Rhinolophus ferrumequinum: one gene and its partner. Each later gene encodes a partner of the first gene's protein in a complex. Links are inferred from orthologs where the notes say so. Each region holds a gene or a part of one and is shown on either strand. Other genes may lie near its edges.

What was found.
Region 2: the proteins of PDPN (region 1) and CLEC1B are in contact, whole or in part, in a crystal structure (PDB 3WSR), measured with the Homo sapiens proteins. The link is inferred for Rhinolophus ferrumequinum from reciprocal best matches to the Homo sapiens genes PDPN and CLEC1B. Residues at the interface, in NP_006465.4 of Homo sapiens: Ala46, Glu47, Asp48, Asp49, Val50; in NP_001380271.1 of Homo sapiens: Arg107, Phe116, Arg118, Arg152, Thr153, His154, Leu155, Arg157.

What each region holds. Positions count from the first base shown.
Region 1 is NC_046292.1:8,864,865-8,873,119, reverse strand, and holds the start of PDPN (podoplanin), read right to left. Parts: upstream 3,131-8,255; 5' UTR 2,910-3,130; coding exon 2,849-2,909; intron 1-2,848. UniProt on the Homo sapiens protein: Mediates effects on cell migration and adhesion through its different partners.
Region 2 is NC_046293.1:25,787,511-25,795,733, reverse strand, and holds the start of CLEC1B (C-type lectin domain family 1 member B), read right to left. Parts: upstream 3,039-8,223; 5' UTR 2,840-3,038; coding exon 2,776-2,839; intron 2,100-2,775; coding exon 2,001-2,099; intron 953-2,000; coding exon 833-952; intron 674-832; coding exon 522-673; intron 1-521. UniProt on the Homo sapiens protein: C-type lectin-like receptor that functions as a platelet receptor for the lymphatic endothelial marker, PDPN.

The DNA of each region.
Region 1 (8,255 bases):
TTCAAGTTTAAGGAGCTTAAAGTGAGGTTAACTTTTAATTTCAAGTTCAACCTTCATTTTGTGGTGGTTGTTATTGTTTCAGGTTTTTGTTTTTCCGGCAGTGGACGGTAGCAAAAAGAGCTTGGGGTTTGGAGTTAGACCCATTTTTAATCTCAACTCTGGCAAAGTCTGAAGATTAAAATAAAATTTAAGGAGTGGTGATGATTACATGAGGTAACTGTGACACACCTGGCGCGTGGCGGGGAAGGGAGCGGGAATAGCTGGGAGGTGACATCCTTCCTACTTGGGCAGACCATCCACGTGATGCCAAGGTTTGGGGTCTTTATCATTCTAGGGAATGGAGTTACTCATGGGCCACTGATTTCAGAGGCCAGAGAAAGAGACCAGGGGCCTGCCGCATACCTCTGCTCAGCCAGGGCTCCTCCTCCCTGTCTGCCATGTCCTGACTTAGCCTTCTCGTGCTGGGATACTTTTTTAAAATGTGCTTTTCTGTATTAAATGCTATTTTGGCTCCTACACACCCGTGTAATGGATAGGCCTCCCTCACGAAGGCTCTAACAGATCTGATCTTTATTAAATGCTTGATCAATGCCTTATGTGCTACACACAGTCTGAGCAACCGATGAAGATTTCAAGGCCTCTGAAACTGGCAAGGGTTTCGGGGAAATCACAGGCAAGTTTGTTTGCCTCATGATTAATCCTGGGTGGATTGATCCCGGAAAAGCACGCACTTGTGGGTTTGCAGCAAGCAGCAGCCTGCAGAATTTCACCAAACAAACGATCTAATGGAGAGGCCCTGAGGTATGTTTTGGATGAAAGTTCAGAGGGAGGGTGGGGCCTGACAATTGAGGAAAATGCCAGATGTGTGGACAACAGAGGGCCTTTGAGTCCACGCACATCCAAAGAGACAACCCACGGGACCAGATTATAAAACTGAGCCAGATTATAACACTAGAGGAGGGAAGCCCAGTGGGAGAGTGGGATCCTGTGAGACGGATCATAAAATTCATCACCATAATTACCCACTGCCCCCCCCCGCCCCCAGCTCCCCAACAAGAGCCGACAATAGCTCAGCTCAATGAAGTTATTCATCCATATGCAAGTTGCCTCACTCATTATCCTCAGACAAAACCCCTCCTGGGCCTCAGCTCCTTGCCAGCAGGCCAGCAAATCAGTGTCCCCACACAGCCATCTCCCCTCACCCCCCACAGCCTAGGGGGCTTCCGTCTTTAGCAGTCCAGTTTCTAGTACCAACCACGGCTGTATTTTCAGACAAGGTTTACCGCTACCTTTTAGGAGTCCCTTTGACACTCAGGAACTGGCTTAAAGATAATTACAGCTAACCCTTCCCCGGTCACAAACAGAGAATGCCGTCTTTGCTCAGCAGGGCTGGGAGGTGGCTCGGTTTGGGGGACCTCCCACACCTCGCCCTGGTGAGCACAAAATGGTGTCATGTGCACTCTGTCTCGCCAAAAAGGAAATGTAACTGAAAGGCAGAGCTGTCTATATCACAGTGGAAAGAGAAGTTCCAAAATAGGGCCACCACGAGAATAGCCCCCCCGGGCCTATAGACAGAGTAGTTCCTTCTCTCCAAAGCAACCAGCCCAGCACTGAGCACACTACTCCCGGTATCTTTTCCCTAGGGCTAAGGATGCTCTCCTTTGTGTGGAAATAAGGAAGCCTAGGTGACGTCTGCTCTTCCCTCAAATCACGCCCTCCAAGGATTTCTCTAACCTGGATCTTCAGTTTGGACCATGTAAGAGTTTACTTTTCAGAGCACAGAGCTCGGCCAGCTCCAACCTCAAAGATCACGCGTTAGCTTACAACTCCTTCAGCCAACATTGAGTGAGCAACTCTGGCACGCAGGACATTGGTTTGTTCCTGGGGATCAAGGCTAAGACACAGCTGTGTCCTTGGGCGCTTATATTCTACGGGGGAAAACAGATAATAAAGACCCAAGAAAAGAAATAAAGTGATGACAAATGTTCACGGATGCCATCCACGCAGTGCGCTCCACAGAAAGACGCAAAGGAATGAGAAGAGGATGAGAGGAAGAAGAGGGCAATGAGATGGAAAGATGTAGGCGACCGGCAGGCAGTGCCCCCAGCATCGGATCTGATACATTTGAAATCTAAGGAGTCACCAGCATTCCTGCAGTAACTCAGATTGTTGGCCAAGTTCGACACACAGCCCCAAAGAGCCACCTTCCATTCGCTTGCGTTACTCAGGAGCCGTCCACTTCAGTCCTGTCCATCCACACTACCCCTCTCTAGGAGGAGACGGGGCCTCTTCCAGCTCATCCCTGTTGGTTGGGTCCTAAGTGTGTTTTATGTGGGTGCACAGGGTGTAAGACCTGGCAGCCCCCAGAGAGAGACCACCACTGCACAGGGGGAACCCTCCCCCCAACCCCAGCACTCCTGAATGTCCCTCCCCATTCCATGGGCCCCATCTCTTCTGAGGCCATGGCATTTCTCCAGTACAGCCCTGTAGGAAAGCCCAGTCCTGCCAGTGGGAAGCCTCCTTGCTCTTATCTGTCACCCTACCTCTTGCGAGCCGAGCAGGGGACAGCAGGAGGTGGGCTGACAGGGAGAGAGGCCCCCTCTGCTCCCCACCCTTGCTGCCTGTAGGGTTCCGGGGCTCCTCCTCGAATCCCGCTCAGCTCTTTCTATGGGACCTGGCACCCGATAAGCCGCTGTCTCTCCTTCTCCTGGGTCCTCCAGACTCGAGTACTCACACACTCCCGGCCCGCCCTCTGCTCCCCCGGGCAACCTCAAATCCCAGACCCGGGCATTTCAGCAAGTCAGGGCTAGCTCACCCCCACCAGCGCCTCGCACCGAGTCTTACTTACCTCCTGCCAGAATTCCCGATGCTCTTCCCAAAACCAACAGCAAAACTGGCACCTTCCACATCTTCTTCCTTAACTTGCTCCCTTGGGGGTCGAGCAGCTCGTTTCTGTGCTGAGGGAAGATGAAAAATCTGCAGACACAGGCCTCTCCTGGCAGAGCGCGAACGTGGGGGCTGGAATGCGGGGAGCAAAAGTCCCAGCGCGGGAGGGGTCCCTAAGCTTCCTTCGCCCGCGGCAGCTGGAGGAGCAAACTTTGCAGTTGGAAACTTTGGGAGTGGAGTCAGCATTTATCTCTCCCGAGGAGGGCGGGAGCGTCCCGCTGTAAGGTGGTCTCAGTCTGGGCTCCCTGGGACCGCCCTCTTGCTCTGTTTGGCCAGCGTGAAAACGATGACCTCAGGCCAGGTTTAAAGTTACAGGGCTGCAGCTGTGGGGGCTGCCAGGACGCGTGAAGGGCCCTGAGCGCTGGCAAAATTGTTTTTACTCTGTTCCCCAACAGGAGGGAAAGGGGGCGCATGCAGTAAGCGATTTATTTTTTAAAAATTTTAAACTTTATTTTATTATTCTGGTTTTTTAAGCGCAAGGCACAAAGCCTAGGTTTTTCTTGTTATGAGAAGTAAACTGTTCCTTGTGTGGCCAGTAATTTTAGAACCAAGCATGGGATTGTTCTCGTAAACACTGAATTGGATGGCTTCAAAAAGGGGGGGGGGGAGGGCTCCTCATCTGGGTGGGCCAGAGGCCACTCATGCTGGTAAATTGCGCCCTTGTCCAGGGGGGACTGGAGCAGTAGCTGCCGGAGAGACCTGGCAGAGAGCTTGGCAGACGCTGTGGCTGTGGCAGTTCCAGAGAAAAGGCTGAGCTCCAGACTAGCCCTCCTGATTTTGGAAGTAGCGCTGCGATGCTGGGGCCCATGGTTGATTGTGGGCAGTGGGATGAGGTCTGCAGCCCGAGGACGTCAGCAGGCCCACCTGGTCACCAAACCTGTGTTCACTTCCAGTTCCAGCTGGTTCTCTGTAATCCCGGAGTTTGACCCCATAATCCCCACTCTGCCTGTTCAGCAATCACCCTGATCGCAAGTACCGGATGCTAGCAACAAGCAGAGTTTGTATTAGGTTGGTGCAAAACTAATTGAGGTTTTTGCAATTATTTTTAACCTGTTAAACCGCAATTACTTTTGCACCAACCTAATACTTTATTTCCTTCTGAACTGTTGGAATTGAAAAACACAAAAAATTAAGAAGAGGACTTGGGGAAGTGGCCCTGGACCCACTCCCAGCTGTCACCAATTTCATTCAATAAAAAACCTGAAGACTAACACCCTAAAGCTCCATATGGGGGTGAAAATTGGTGGTTTTCAGATCTTTATCCTAGACTTACTTATCCAAATTCACTTAAAAGTTACCTAGGAAGACTGCTTTAAGAGCTCAGATTCCTGGATTCCACCCCTACTCATTATCCATACCCTTTGGGAATTCATATTTGAAGCCAGTGTCCCCAGAGAACTTGTCCACAGGGATATTTAGTGTTAAAATGCAGGTGCAGCCTCTATGGGTCTGGGGGGGAGGAAGGAAGTCTGCATTTCCAAAGATCCCCCACGTGATGCCTGGTCCGGGAGCTGACACCTGAAGGAAGCAGAGGAAGGGGCCCAGAGAGGCAAGGCAGTGGAAAGGTAAAGAGAAAACTGGAAATAGATCAAATCTGAAGTGACTTGCCCACCTTGCTATTACATTTTATTATTATTACTGCATGTTCAGAGCAGGCATTGTCTGTTGAAACCGCTAGACGGAGAATAGATGCAAATCCACTCCAAAGTCAAGAAAAAAACAAAAAGGCCACCTTCACTCGGAAATGGAGATGAAATGAAGCTAGGTGGGAGAACAGGTTAAGTGCCGCTGATTTAGAGGCTGCTTAGGGCCAGGTTATTATTAACAGAGATGCCTCCTCTACCCTCTGCCCCCGCAGGGAAGTGTCTAGATTCTACCAGGTTGATCACCTGACCTTCTGGTAGAAGATGGAGGAGCAGGTAACAGGGAATTGCATCGTGTTGGAGGCCATCCTGGGGATGGGGAGAGGGGCCAGGACCGGGGAGTGTAAGGACGGGGTCCTGGTGCTGTGGGTTTGAGTAACTGAGGAGAATGGCTGGGCTTGGGGTGGGGAACCTTCCTCAACAAGGCAAACGGCAGAGCAGAGGGAGGGGATGCAGCCTCAGTGCACCTGAGTGGGGCACCTGAGTGACTCGGGGTAAGTAAAGAGGCGTCAGTGAACGGGTGAAATTCAGAAGCCTGAGACCAGCCCAGATGAGGGGAAGAAAGGGACAAGCAGGGAACACACCAGAAGATTCCTCCCTGCTTGTGAAACAGCTTGGGCTCCTAAAGTGCTGACTGGTTAGATAGCGGGGACATTTACCCAGCACACCAGGAACTCCAGGAATCCAGCACTATCTCCCTGACTTCTCGAAACGACCCAGGGTGAGAACACTGATAATACTTTATGAACAAGGACACGGGTTTCCAGAGCAAAGTGGTTTTCTGAGGCGTGTGCATCGATTTGCCTGGGTGGGGCCCAAGAAGTCGCATTTCTGACAAGTTTCTGGGGCCCTACTTTGAGAAGCACTGGGTTAGAGACCACACAAATTCTCCAGCAGTGGGGGTGGGGGTGGTCCATAACGAGAGATGGAGCCACCGTCCCTCTATTGCAGGACTAGTGCTGTGTCTCGCTTCAGGATCTAGGGGGAGAGGTCTGTAAGTTGCCTTTAAGAAGCAAGAGTCCCTGCCCTGTCCCCCGGGGTTGGGGACTAGGCTGCAAGAGAAGGAATCCAGCCAGAGCATCCAGCCTGGGACTCTCCACACTGAGGGATGCTGGAGAGTGAATGAGGATCTCTCATGTTCCCTGCATTCTGGGAGCAGCGGGCCAAGCTTCCCAGGCTGCCTGGGAAGATTTCTCAGCTTCTTCCCTGGCTTCCCAACACACCCTCCCTCGGAGCTGAGGCAGCACCTGATGGGATCTCTGATGTCAGAGGCGCCTCTGTGACTCAGGAATAGATCTGCAGTTGGAGGTACGAGCTGGGGTTAGCAAGAATGGAACAAGCCTGCGGGGGACGGGGGCGGGGATGGTGAGTGGGGAGAGGCACGGGGACTGAAGGAACCCAGAGCAGCTTGGTTTGCTGGGAAAAGCCTCAGTGTTTTGGAATCAAAATTCAGCTCCCTGGTGGCCTTGGGCAGCATAGGCCTCAGTTTCTGCTTCTTTAAAATGGGCATGTAATTCCTACTTTGGAGAGTTCTATGCACAGCAAAGAGTGTGACTGCTGTGATTGCTATGATTAGTCCCTGCCTTGTCCTGCCTGGTTCTCAGCCTCTTGAGTCCTCGGGTGCCCACCTGTCCTCACCCGAACACTGGCCAGCACCACCTGCAGGGCAGAGGTTCTTGACATGGACCCAATAGAACTGGTTCTTTTCAACCTTAGGAAACCCAGCTGGTCCCACACACAGGGATTCAGCATCAACTCGTCCTCTCTGCTAGTCCAACCCTCACCTTGGGCCTTATTCCTGAGAGGCCCCACCTGGATCCTTGTTCATCTCTCTGGGTCCAAGGTCCCCTCTGGGATGCAGATTACCTCCCAGTTCCACCCAGGAACTAGCTAGCTTCTGCACTGCGACTTGGAGGCTGGCTCCTGCATTCATTGCATGAATAGGAAGCTAGATTGGATTTCTGACTCACTGGGCTGTCTCTGTCTGCCAGAACACCCCATTGCTTTGCCAGGGGTCTCCCCAGTGCTTAGTGACCCCTCCTATTGTCACACTCAAACTGTCTCATGCCCTATTCCAGTGGGCTGCACACAATTGTACAGACCCCCTCAAGGAATGTTTAAAAACTAGGTACCAATGAATCTTCATTGAACAGTTGAATAAGTATATGTTTCACTGGAGGTAGAACATACTGTGCTTCTCCGAAAATAAGACCTAACTGGGAAATCATCCCTAACATGATTTCGTCAGGATGACATCCCCTGAACATAAGCCCTAGTACGTCTTTTGGAGCAAACCTTAATATAAGACCTCGTCTTATTTTCGGGGAAACAAGGTATTAAACACTTCATAAAAAGAAAGATGAAGACTGACTGTAATTGGAAAACATATTTAATGAGATGACAATAATATTGGCCGAGTAAGCACACTGACCATGAAAAAAAATTACATAAAATTTTTATCTGTGAATTTTTTTTTTTTAAAGATTTTATTGGGGAAGGGAAACAGGACTTTATTGGGGAACAGTGTACTTCCAGGACTTTTTTCCAAGTCAAGTTGTTGTCCTTTCAATCTTAGTTGTGGAGGGTGCCCTTCAGCTTCAAGTTGTTGTTCTTTCAGTCTTAGTTGTGGAGGGCGCAGCTCAGCTCCAGTCCAGTTGCCGTTGCTAGTTGCAGGGGGCGCAGCCCACCATCCCTTGCGGGAGTCGAACCGGCAACCTCATGGTTGAGAGCCCACTGGCCCATGTGCAAATTGAACCGGTAGCCTTTGGAGATAGGAGCATGGAGCTCCAACTGCCTGAGCCACCGAGCCGGCCCTTATCTGTGAATTTTAATTCATACAGCTTGATAATTTTTTTTTGATAGATCTGGAAACCTTTCCAGTTACACTTAAAAGGGTTAGCATCACTAACCGTCTTTTTAAAAATGATATGCGTTTATTAATTTTTCATTATAAAAATATACATTTATTAAAGAAAATGTAGAAAAAGCAGGAAAGTAGAAAAATGATCATTTGGCCAGATTTCTTTGTGTATTTGTTTACTACTTTTTCTCTTGACAAAATTGCAAATCTGCAGAAAAGTTGCAAGTGCAAGCATTCCCATATACCTTTCCTCCAGATTCACCAATCTGTTTGTGTTTTGCCCCGTTTTCCTCATCATTATCTCTCTATTGATACACATTTTCATATTGGTCTTATTCTGAAACCCTTGAGAGTCATGAAGATACTGGTGCCTTCTGGCCCTAAATAGTTGGGTGTGAATTTCCTGAGGTCAGGGACATTCTCTTTGACAGTCACAGTGGGAATTGTCAAATCACAAAATCTAATATTAAAACACTATTGTCTAATCCACGCTGCACATTCACATTTTGACAAATTTCCCAGTGATACCCTTTACAGCCCTCCCCCGCTCCCCATGCACAAGAATCTAATCCAGGACCGCACAATGCAGTTGGCTGTCCCGTCTCCAGAAGATACTGGAACTCTGCTTCCGCCGTTCTTTGTCCTTCTTGAACTTGATGTTTTTCAAATGCTATGGGCCTTATTTTGTAGACCATTCTTCAGTTTGGGTTTGTCTGCTCTTTGCTCATGATTAGATGCAGGTGTGCATTTCTGGTTGGATATTGTAATGCTGTGTTTTCTCAGTGAGTCACCTGAGGAGGTCCAGG
Region 2 (8,223 bases), on another chromosome or scaffold:
ATAGGCTTAGAAGCTGTCAAAGAGGGAAATATGGAAGAGGAGATATGTTTAGTAGAAAATTTTCAACTTAAATATTGTGTGTTTTGCAAATGAGATTGCTCCCCAAACTATGTTTGGGAGAGCCTATGAAAAAATGGAGTTTGCTTTATGGCTTTTTCAGTTGTCTACAATTCAGCAGGAACTGAGAAGGCATGTAATATTGGGATAACACTGTTATTTATATTTTACAACCATATTTCATTTCTTTATGTTTTCAGATTATTTTATTAATTAGTACATAGACTTAAGGAAATTGAAAAAAGGTTAAGTGACTTGTTGCAGAAATAAGACCAGAACTTCAACTCTCGTTAGTCCTACTTAACCACTTTCTATTCTCAAATTTTGTGATTTTTACTGAGTTTAATAAGGTTTTCAGATTAGCAAAACTGGAAGGCATGAGAAAAGTATCTTTTTAAGTCAAATATTTCACTTGGGATTTTCCCCCTATGATCCCAAATTATTTAACACAGGAATCACCTCACCAGGATGTTCTGGTTGGCAATCTTCAGTAGAGTAGCATTCCTGTCGGTACAGTACTGCTTACTCTCTTCCCAGGTCAAGTTGTGCCTGAAGAATCCATAGCAACTATCTCCATGATATCTCCAATTTGTGTCACATGGGCTGCACTTATGGCCTTAAGAAGAAATCAAACATAGGAAACCTTTTATTCTAAATCAGACTTACATATTCCCCAAATTCAATTTTTCCTATAGATCTCAAGATTTTCTACAGATAGCATCACAGAAATATTCCAGGGATAAGGGAGATGAAGAGGTTACCAAACCATACTTACTGAAACCATTCTTTTGTTCTGATTGTTTTACTAAATTTTGGCAGAGCTGCTTTGCTAATTGTTGCAGAGATCCTGAGAGATTTTCATTCTCAACTTGTAGGTAGTTTTGCTGCGTGAGAGCTAAATGTAAAAATTAGTTAATAGTTTATAATCAGAATAAAAAAATACTGCAAAGACATTTCAATAAACTTCAGTTTTACTAGAATTATCAATCTATGAAGGGTTTACAAGATACACATGAGAAATGAGTGCTGACAAGGGACCAGGGTCAAGGGGTGGGGTATAAAGAACAAATTAAGAACTAAGCAAACTGACAGCTGAGGGTTATCCAAAAGAATAAGTGAACTATTTGAAGGAGGTAATCACAAATAAGAAAAGGCCATGATCAAATCACATGCCCAAAGAAGTTGTTTTGAAGTTTCCATACTACAGATTTCTATGCAGATCTCACAAATGTGAATAAACTCTCTTTTTTTGTTTTTCATGTAATACCAAAATATCCATTTATTTAAAAGTTACATATTGATTGCCTTTTATGCTGAAAGTATTGTAATATTTAAGTAAATAAAAAATGGTGAATGAAAGATTCTAAAATATGAAAAAATAAACAAGAACACAAACAAGCAATAATTATATAGATGATAATGTGACTTTGGAGGGCTTTTAGATTTAGAGGGAAAAAATGCTTATAAATTAGGTGGGATATTAATTAACTCTTAGGAAGTAAATACATTCATTAAACAAAATGGGGTGGAGGACATTTTAGGAAGAGGGAATAGAATGAGCAAAATCCCAGGCAGAGAAACATGGGATGTATTTGTGAAACTGAGAAAACTCCATGTTGGCTGGATCTTAGGATTTGCAGGATTGGTAGAAAAGAAAGTTTCAAAGGCTAGTGTGAATCTATGCTGAGGGGGAACTTAAGGACCAGTTAAAAATTCTTGAAAATAATTTTTAATTAACAAAAAAATCTAAATGGTGATTTTAATTGGAAGGGAAAGGTTAGAGTTCTTATTGAGAATATCTTAAGAGCTATGTATAGGATGACTGGAGTGGTGACAAACTGACAAATAAGTTAAGTTTAGTGGCCTACATCAGGACCCTTCCTCGGATGGGTCCTGGTATTGCCTTCCTCGGATGAAATCTTTGGCAATGAGTCAGTACTTACACATAATCCCCAGAGCCACTAGTCCACCAACCAGCCCAATACACAAGACCAGCAGAATCAAAGCCATCACACGCCACAGAGATGAGGAAGGAGAGTCAACTGTGGGCATACAATAAAAATGTCAGGGGGCAGGCAGTATGGCATAGTTACGGGGCAGCACCTCTCCTGGCCCTGCCAACTCAGGATTTTTTGAGGCATATAAACAGCATTATTGGCAGATCTTACCAATGTTCCCTCAGTGATCATCAACAGTAAGCACAACCCAATTCCATTCCACAAATTCATCTTCATCCCTAGTGCATTTGTCTCTGAGTCAAAATACAAGTAGCTGTTAAGATCTTATGTGTTTGTTTTGTTCTGTGACCAACCCTCCCCACAAATAATAATAATGATAATAATAATAATAATAATAATAATAATAATAATAAATAATTGCTTTAATAAGCAGGACCTGCAGAATCACACCCATTTGTTGACATCTTAAAAATGGGTTTTCAAACCTTCTTTCCCCTTACCTTCCTTGGTTTGTATTCCCTCGACATTAAACTCTATAAACCTAAAGTAGCGTTCCCTGCTTGTATCTTTTCTTGTTTGTATTCTAAATAAGTCTGTCCGAGCCTATGTAGATAGTACTCAAATGTTATAGAAAAAGAAAGTCATTCAGGAAAGTAAAAGAAAACTGTACGTGCTGTCACTAGTTAAAAAAAATAAAGTAAATTAGGGTTGACGTATTTCAATAATTAATTTCCAAATTGTTTCCTCTGGGCATTCTTACCTGAGGTGAGAGCTGGTTTTCGAGTTTTAATATTTAAGGTGATGTATCCATCTTCATCCTGCATGGCTTTCTATTGAACTGCAAGTGAGCTTCGGGTTCAACGACTTTACAAAATGTAGTGTCCACGTTTATGATTTCAGTGTCTCTCAGTCTGTGATCCTCCTCTCTCTGGTAAGGTGGAGACATGAGTTGGGGCATATATTTGTTTCTTTGGTTTTTTTTTTTTTTTTCTTTCTTTCCAGGAAATCCTTACATAGCTCCTCAGAGATACATGAACCTTGGACATAAAAACACAAAAATAATAATAACTTGTGGTAAAGGAGTAGATACAGCATTTGTTTCCTTTTTCCTTATCTTCAACTCTGAATGAAGGAATATTGCATCACGTGTATCCTTTCAAAGAACAAAAGTTCACACTTTATCTTAACCCTTGCAGAGTCTAAATCATATTGTTTAAATGAAGTGATTTCTGATAAAAATTCTATCCCATTGTGAGGAAAAAGTCTAATATACTTTGATTTAATATAAGCTAAATTAAATATTTTATGGTGTTATGTTAGAAGACACCATTTCTAATTCTCATCTTGACTTCAACCAACTGCTTGCATTTTTCACAAATCAAATTCTTTATAAATTCAATTACTCCACACAAGGCATACTTCTTGAGCCTAGGCATCAAAGGCAAACAGTCATAAAGTGAAATAATACATTTAGTGACTTCATGTATTGACTTTTAGTGATGTTTGTCTTTTAAAGTGAATTTCCAGGAATAGAAAACTCTTAACTCAATGAAGTCATGTAATTTCAAGTATAGCTGTGCTTAGATGAACAGCTATTTGGGAAAAGGATGGTTTCCTAGTATCCTTTACATCACAATATAATATGTATTCCACACATTTAAGTTTATGAAATGTGTTTTTAAATTGTCATTTTAGCTTATATTGAAAGCATTTATATAATAAGAACACCCATAGAAAGTTAGCTGCTGTACTTATTGTAGGAATATCAGTGAAGGTACTATCTACTTTTTAGAATCACTTTTATATAGTTTTATAGCAGATATTTTTGTTAAACATCCAGGCCAGAAAAGTTTCTCTTTTTCTGAATAACTAGTAAACATTTACCTTCTAAATGATTCTGTTTCTACTTTTTCTTTAGTTAATAAAGTGTTAGACTTTACTTTTCAATATAGTAATTACATAGGATTTCATGACAGATATTTTGTTTACTAACTTTCCTCAGGCACTTCTTGTATACATGTATTATTTTCTTCTTGTTATCTCCTGCACTCTGAATTCTTTGTCAACTCACTTAAAATAATCTTTTATTTTAAAATGTCTTGAGAATGGTGAAAGAATAAACAAAACAGCATGAAAAGCATTGCCTGATCTAAAAATCCCAAACTTACCATGATTTAAATATTTTTAATTAATTTTTGTTAAATTTATTGGGGTGACATTGGTTATATTGGTTTCAAGTATACATTTCTATAACATATCACCTATATGTTGCATACTCTGGGTGTTGACCACCCAAGTCAGTTCTCCTTCCATCATCACACATTTAACACCTTTTTCCCTCTTCTACCACTGCCCCGCCCCCTCTTAACCTCTGGTAATCACTAAACTGTTGTCTGTGTCTATGAGTTTTTGTTTCTTCGTTAGTTTGTCTTATTCCTTTGTTGTTTTCAGTTTTATATCCCACATACGAGTGAAGTCACACAGCTCTCGACTTTTTTCTGACTTATTTCGCTCAGCATGATAATCTCAAGATTCATACATGTTGTCGCAAATGGCAGTATTTCATCCTTTCTTATGACTGAGTAATATTCCATTGTGTATATGTGCCTCATCTTCTTTATCCAATCATCTATCAAAGGACACTGGTTGCTTTCATATCTTGGACACCATGAATAATGCTGCAATAAGGATACATATATCTTTATGGATAAATGTTTTCAGATTTTGGGGGTAGATACCCAGAAAAGGGATTGCTGGGTCATAGAGTAATTCTATTCTTAATTTTTTGAAGAACCTCCTTATTGTTTTGCATAGTGGCTGTACCAGTTTACATTCCCACCAGCAGTGTATAAGGGTTCCTTTTTCTCCACAACCTCTCCAACACTTGTTATTACTTGTCTTGTTGATCACAGTGATTCTAGCAAGTGTGAGGTGGTTTCTCATTGTGGTTTCGATTTGCATTTCCCTAACAGCTAGTGAAGTTGAGCACTTTTTCATTTATCTGTTCCCCATTTGCATGTCTTTTGGGGAGAAATGTCTCTCTAGGTCCTCAGTCCATTTTTTAATTGAATTGCTTTTGTGGTTGTTGATGAGTTGTATGAGTTCTTCATATATTTTGGACATTAGCCCCTTATTGGAGGTGTAGTTTGCAAAATATCTTCTCCCATTCGGTTGGTTGCCTCTTTATTTTGTTGATGGTTTCTTTTGCTGTGCAGAGCTATTTAGTTTGATATAGCCCCATTCATTTATTTTGGCTTTTACTTCCCTTGCCCTTTTGAGGTCAATAAATGGTGCTGGGAAAATTGGAAAGCCACATGCAAGAGAATGAAACTAGGTTGCTATCTGCCACCACATACAAAATTAACTCGAAATGGATCAAAGACCTAAATATAAGACCTGAAACAATAAATTGCATAGAGAAAAGCATAGGTACTAGATTTCTGGATCTTGGGTTCAGAGAGGATTTTATGAACTTGACCTCAAAAGCAATGATTTAAATATTTTCACCAAAAAATAATCCTTAATGAAAAATCCCACTTACTTTAAATAAAAGTCAAATGTGATAATGTACTAAAAATGAAGTAGTTGAATCTCTTAAATCCCCAAATCCAGGAGTACTCTGGACTTACTTCTTGATCCATGCATGCTTAAAAGTATACATTTAACATCAGAAGTAAATAAAGCTAAAACAGGTAACAGGAAGCCTCAGATGATATTCCTTTGCTATGTCTCAGTCTCTGGAATATAATTCATAATGGTTTTAGGGTCTTTGATGACTCTAGCCACAGACTGAGAGTCTTATGTCTAGATCTATATTTCATAAAAACATATTTGCCTTTATTTGTATCCCCCAAGAATAGCTTTGTGCTGTTGGAAATATGTTAGCTCTGAGTACAGAGACTCTCAATGGAGCTCGTGATAACATTGAGTCTTAATTCTGCTTTCTCCCTCTACATGTCTTATAAATACAAGCTGAGATACTCAGCAACAATTAAACAGAGAACTGCAGGACAAAGAGCATAGATATCACAAGCTTTCTTTTCTCTTTTCCAAAATCTAGGAGCTTTGCTAGATAACTCTTAATCATGCTACTAGGCATATTATTGACATATTTTAACTTTGAACTTTTAATTTTACCTTTAACTTTTCACTTGAATATTTCATTACTCCCTCTTTTTTTGGTTCAGGGAACTAAAAAAAATCTGAAAAAACATTCTTTATTCCAAACAAACTTATGAGTTTGAATTTAGAATAAAAACCTTTATTTGTTTACTATTTAAGAGGCACTTTTACATGAATTATCTCTTTTATTTTAAAGCAGGTATTTAATTAATGTTTATTGTATTTCAGACACCGAAACTGACATTGAGCATTCATAGAGAAAGTCATGGTACTAGTCCTTATGGAGCACAGAATCTTAGACTTTTGCTCTCTACCCTTTATTTTTCAGTATTTAGAACAACTTCCCTGACCCCACTGCACACCAGCCCACATCTCATTCTGCTTCCATGTCTCACTCTTTTCTGTAACACCTAACTATCTGACACACATAGAGTCTTCTTAGATATTTAAATTTTTGTTGTATATCCCCTCAAGAGTGTATTCCATAACACTAAAATAGTGACTGACTTACAGTTACCACCCAACAGATACTGGTGAATAAATGAATGGATAAATATATGTACAATGGGTATTTTCATTCTAATATTACTCATACAAAAAAAGAAGTTTAAGGAAGTTGGGGGCTTCTGTGATCATATTTCTTGTAAAAAGTAGTACCATCTTCCTGGTTTCCAAGGTCTTTTCACTACCCTATGATGTCTTTTTAAATTTAGGCATTGTCCAGACACCATTATCTATGTTTATAGCTGAAGAAGGAGTAAAAGACACTAGGGTGACAATGACAAGTTGTAAATGCAATACGAAAAGAAGTTAGTGGAACGCATAACGTGACAGATAAGACTGATCAATATAAAATGATGGCTAGTGGGTGTGTGAAAGAGAAAGTGAAAAAGAAAATAATGTTGAATGCTATAATAATGTCTCTAAACTGAAAAAATATGCACAGGAACTGAGCATTTTGCAGTTGGTGATATCTTTTTATAAACTTTTTAATGTATATCACCTTTAAGCTAATCCTTAGGTGCATTTATCGGTGATATTCTGTTGCCTCTTTCAGTCCTCTGCATTAACATTTTTGGTTCACCTTTTACTGACTAACCTCTTACACACATTAAATACTGTTTATTTTTGGAAAAGGCTAGGATTTCCTGTCATGAAAAAGGCATAATTAATATTTTCTCTTTATCTTCAGAAAGCTTGAACATGTGGACTGAAGTTAAAATAAGCTGTATTAAAAGTTAGTGAATTAAACAATGAATAACTATCAGACAGCAATTATGGTAGAGCGTTTTGTTAGACGTAGTAGAGAAAATGAAGAAAAAATATGTGTGAGACTCCATCTGTACTACTGAGAAGTTTTTCATACACATGCACACAAAACATCTGTAAGTAAACATGTTAAATGATCACAAAATGGAATATATAAGACTTGAAGGAAAGGCAAAATTTCATGAGAGAGAAAAAGAGAATGTTTACCATGAATGGCAAACATCTGAATGAAACTATATGTTTGAATGAGCATGTGATCAAGAGGCAGTGAATTGATCAACCATATTTAAACTAAGGATTCATTTCACAGCATGTTTGAATAGAAGGTGTCCTATTAAAATGATTGTAAAACTTACATGGCAGGCACAATTAATAAATCAATTACTAGAACATATATTTATTGGCCACTGTTTATGTTTCAAGTACTATTCTGTATTCTGGAGATCAAATGATGAAAAAAACGTACAAGAGTTGCACTCTTACCAAGCTTATATTTTAGTGGGGGAAGGGGGTGGACACAGGTAGCAGAGAAGCAAAGGAAGCACAGAGCAAGATAATTTCATGAGAAATGCGATGAAGGAAAAAAAAATCGGATAATAGATCTCTACTGGTCAGGCTTGGGACAGGCCCTAGCTGTGTTCATTTGAATTGATTTGTTTAACTTTTACTAGGAGTGCTTGGGCAATTGCACAGTTTCTTCCATTTTTAATATCATCTAGAATAATTTAATCTTACTTCTGATATACTAATAGTGATAGCTACCATGTATTATTATGTCTACTGTGTTTCCCCAAAAATAAGACCTAGCCAGACAATC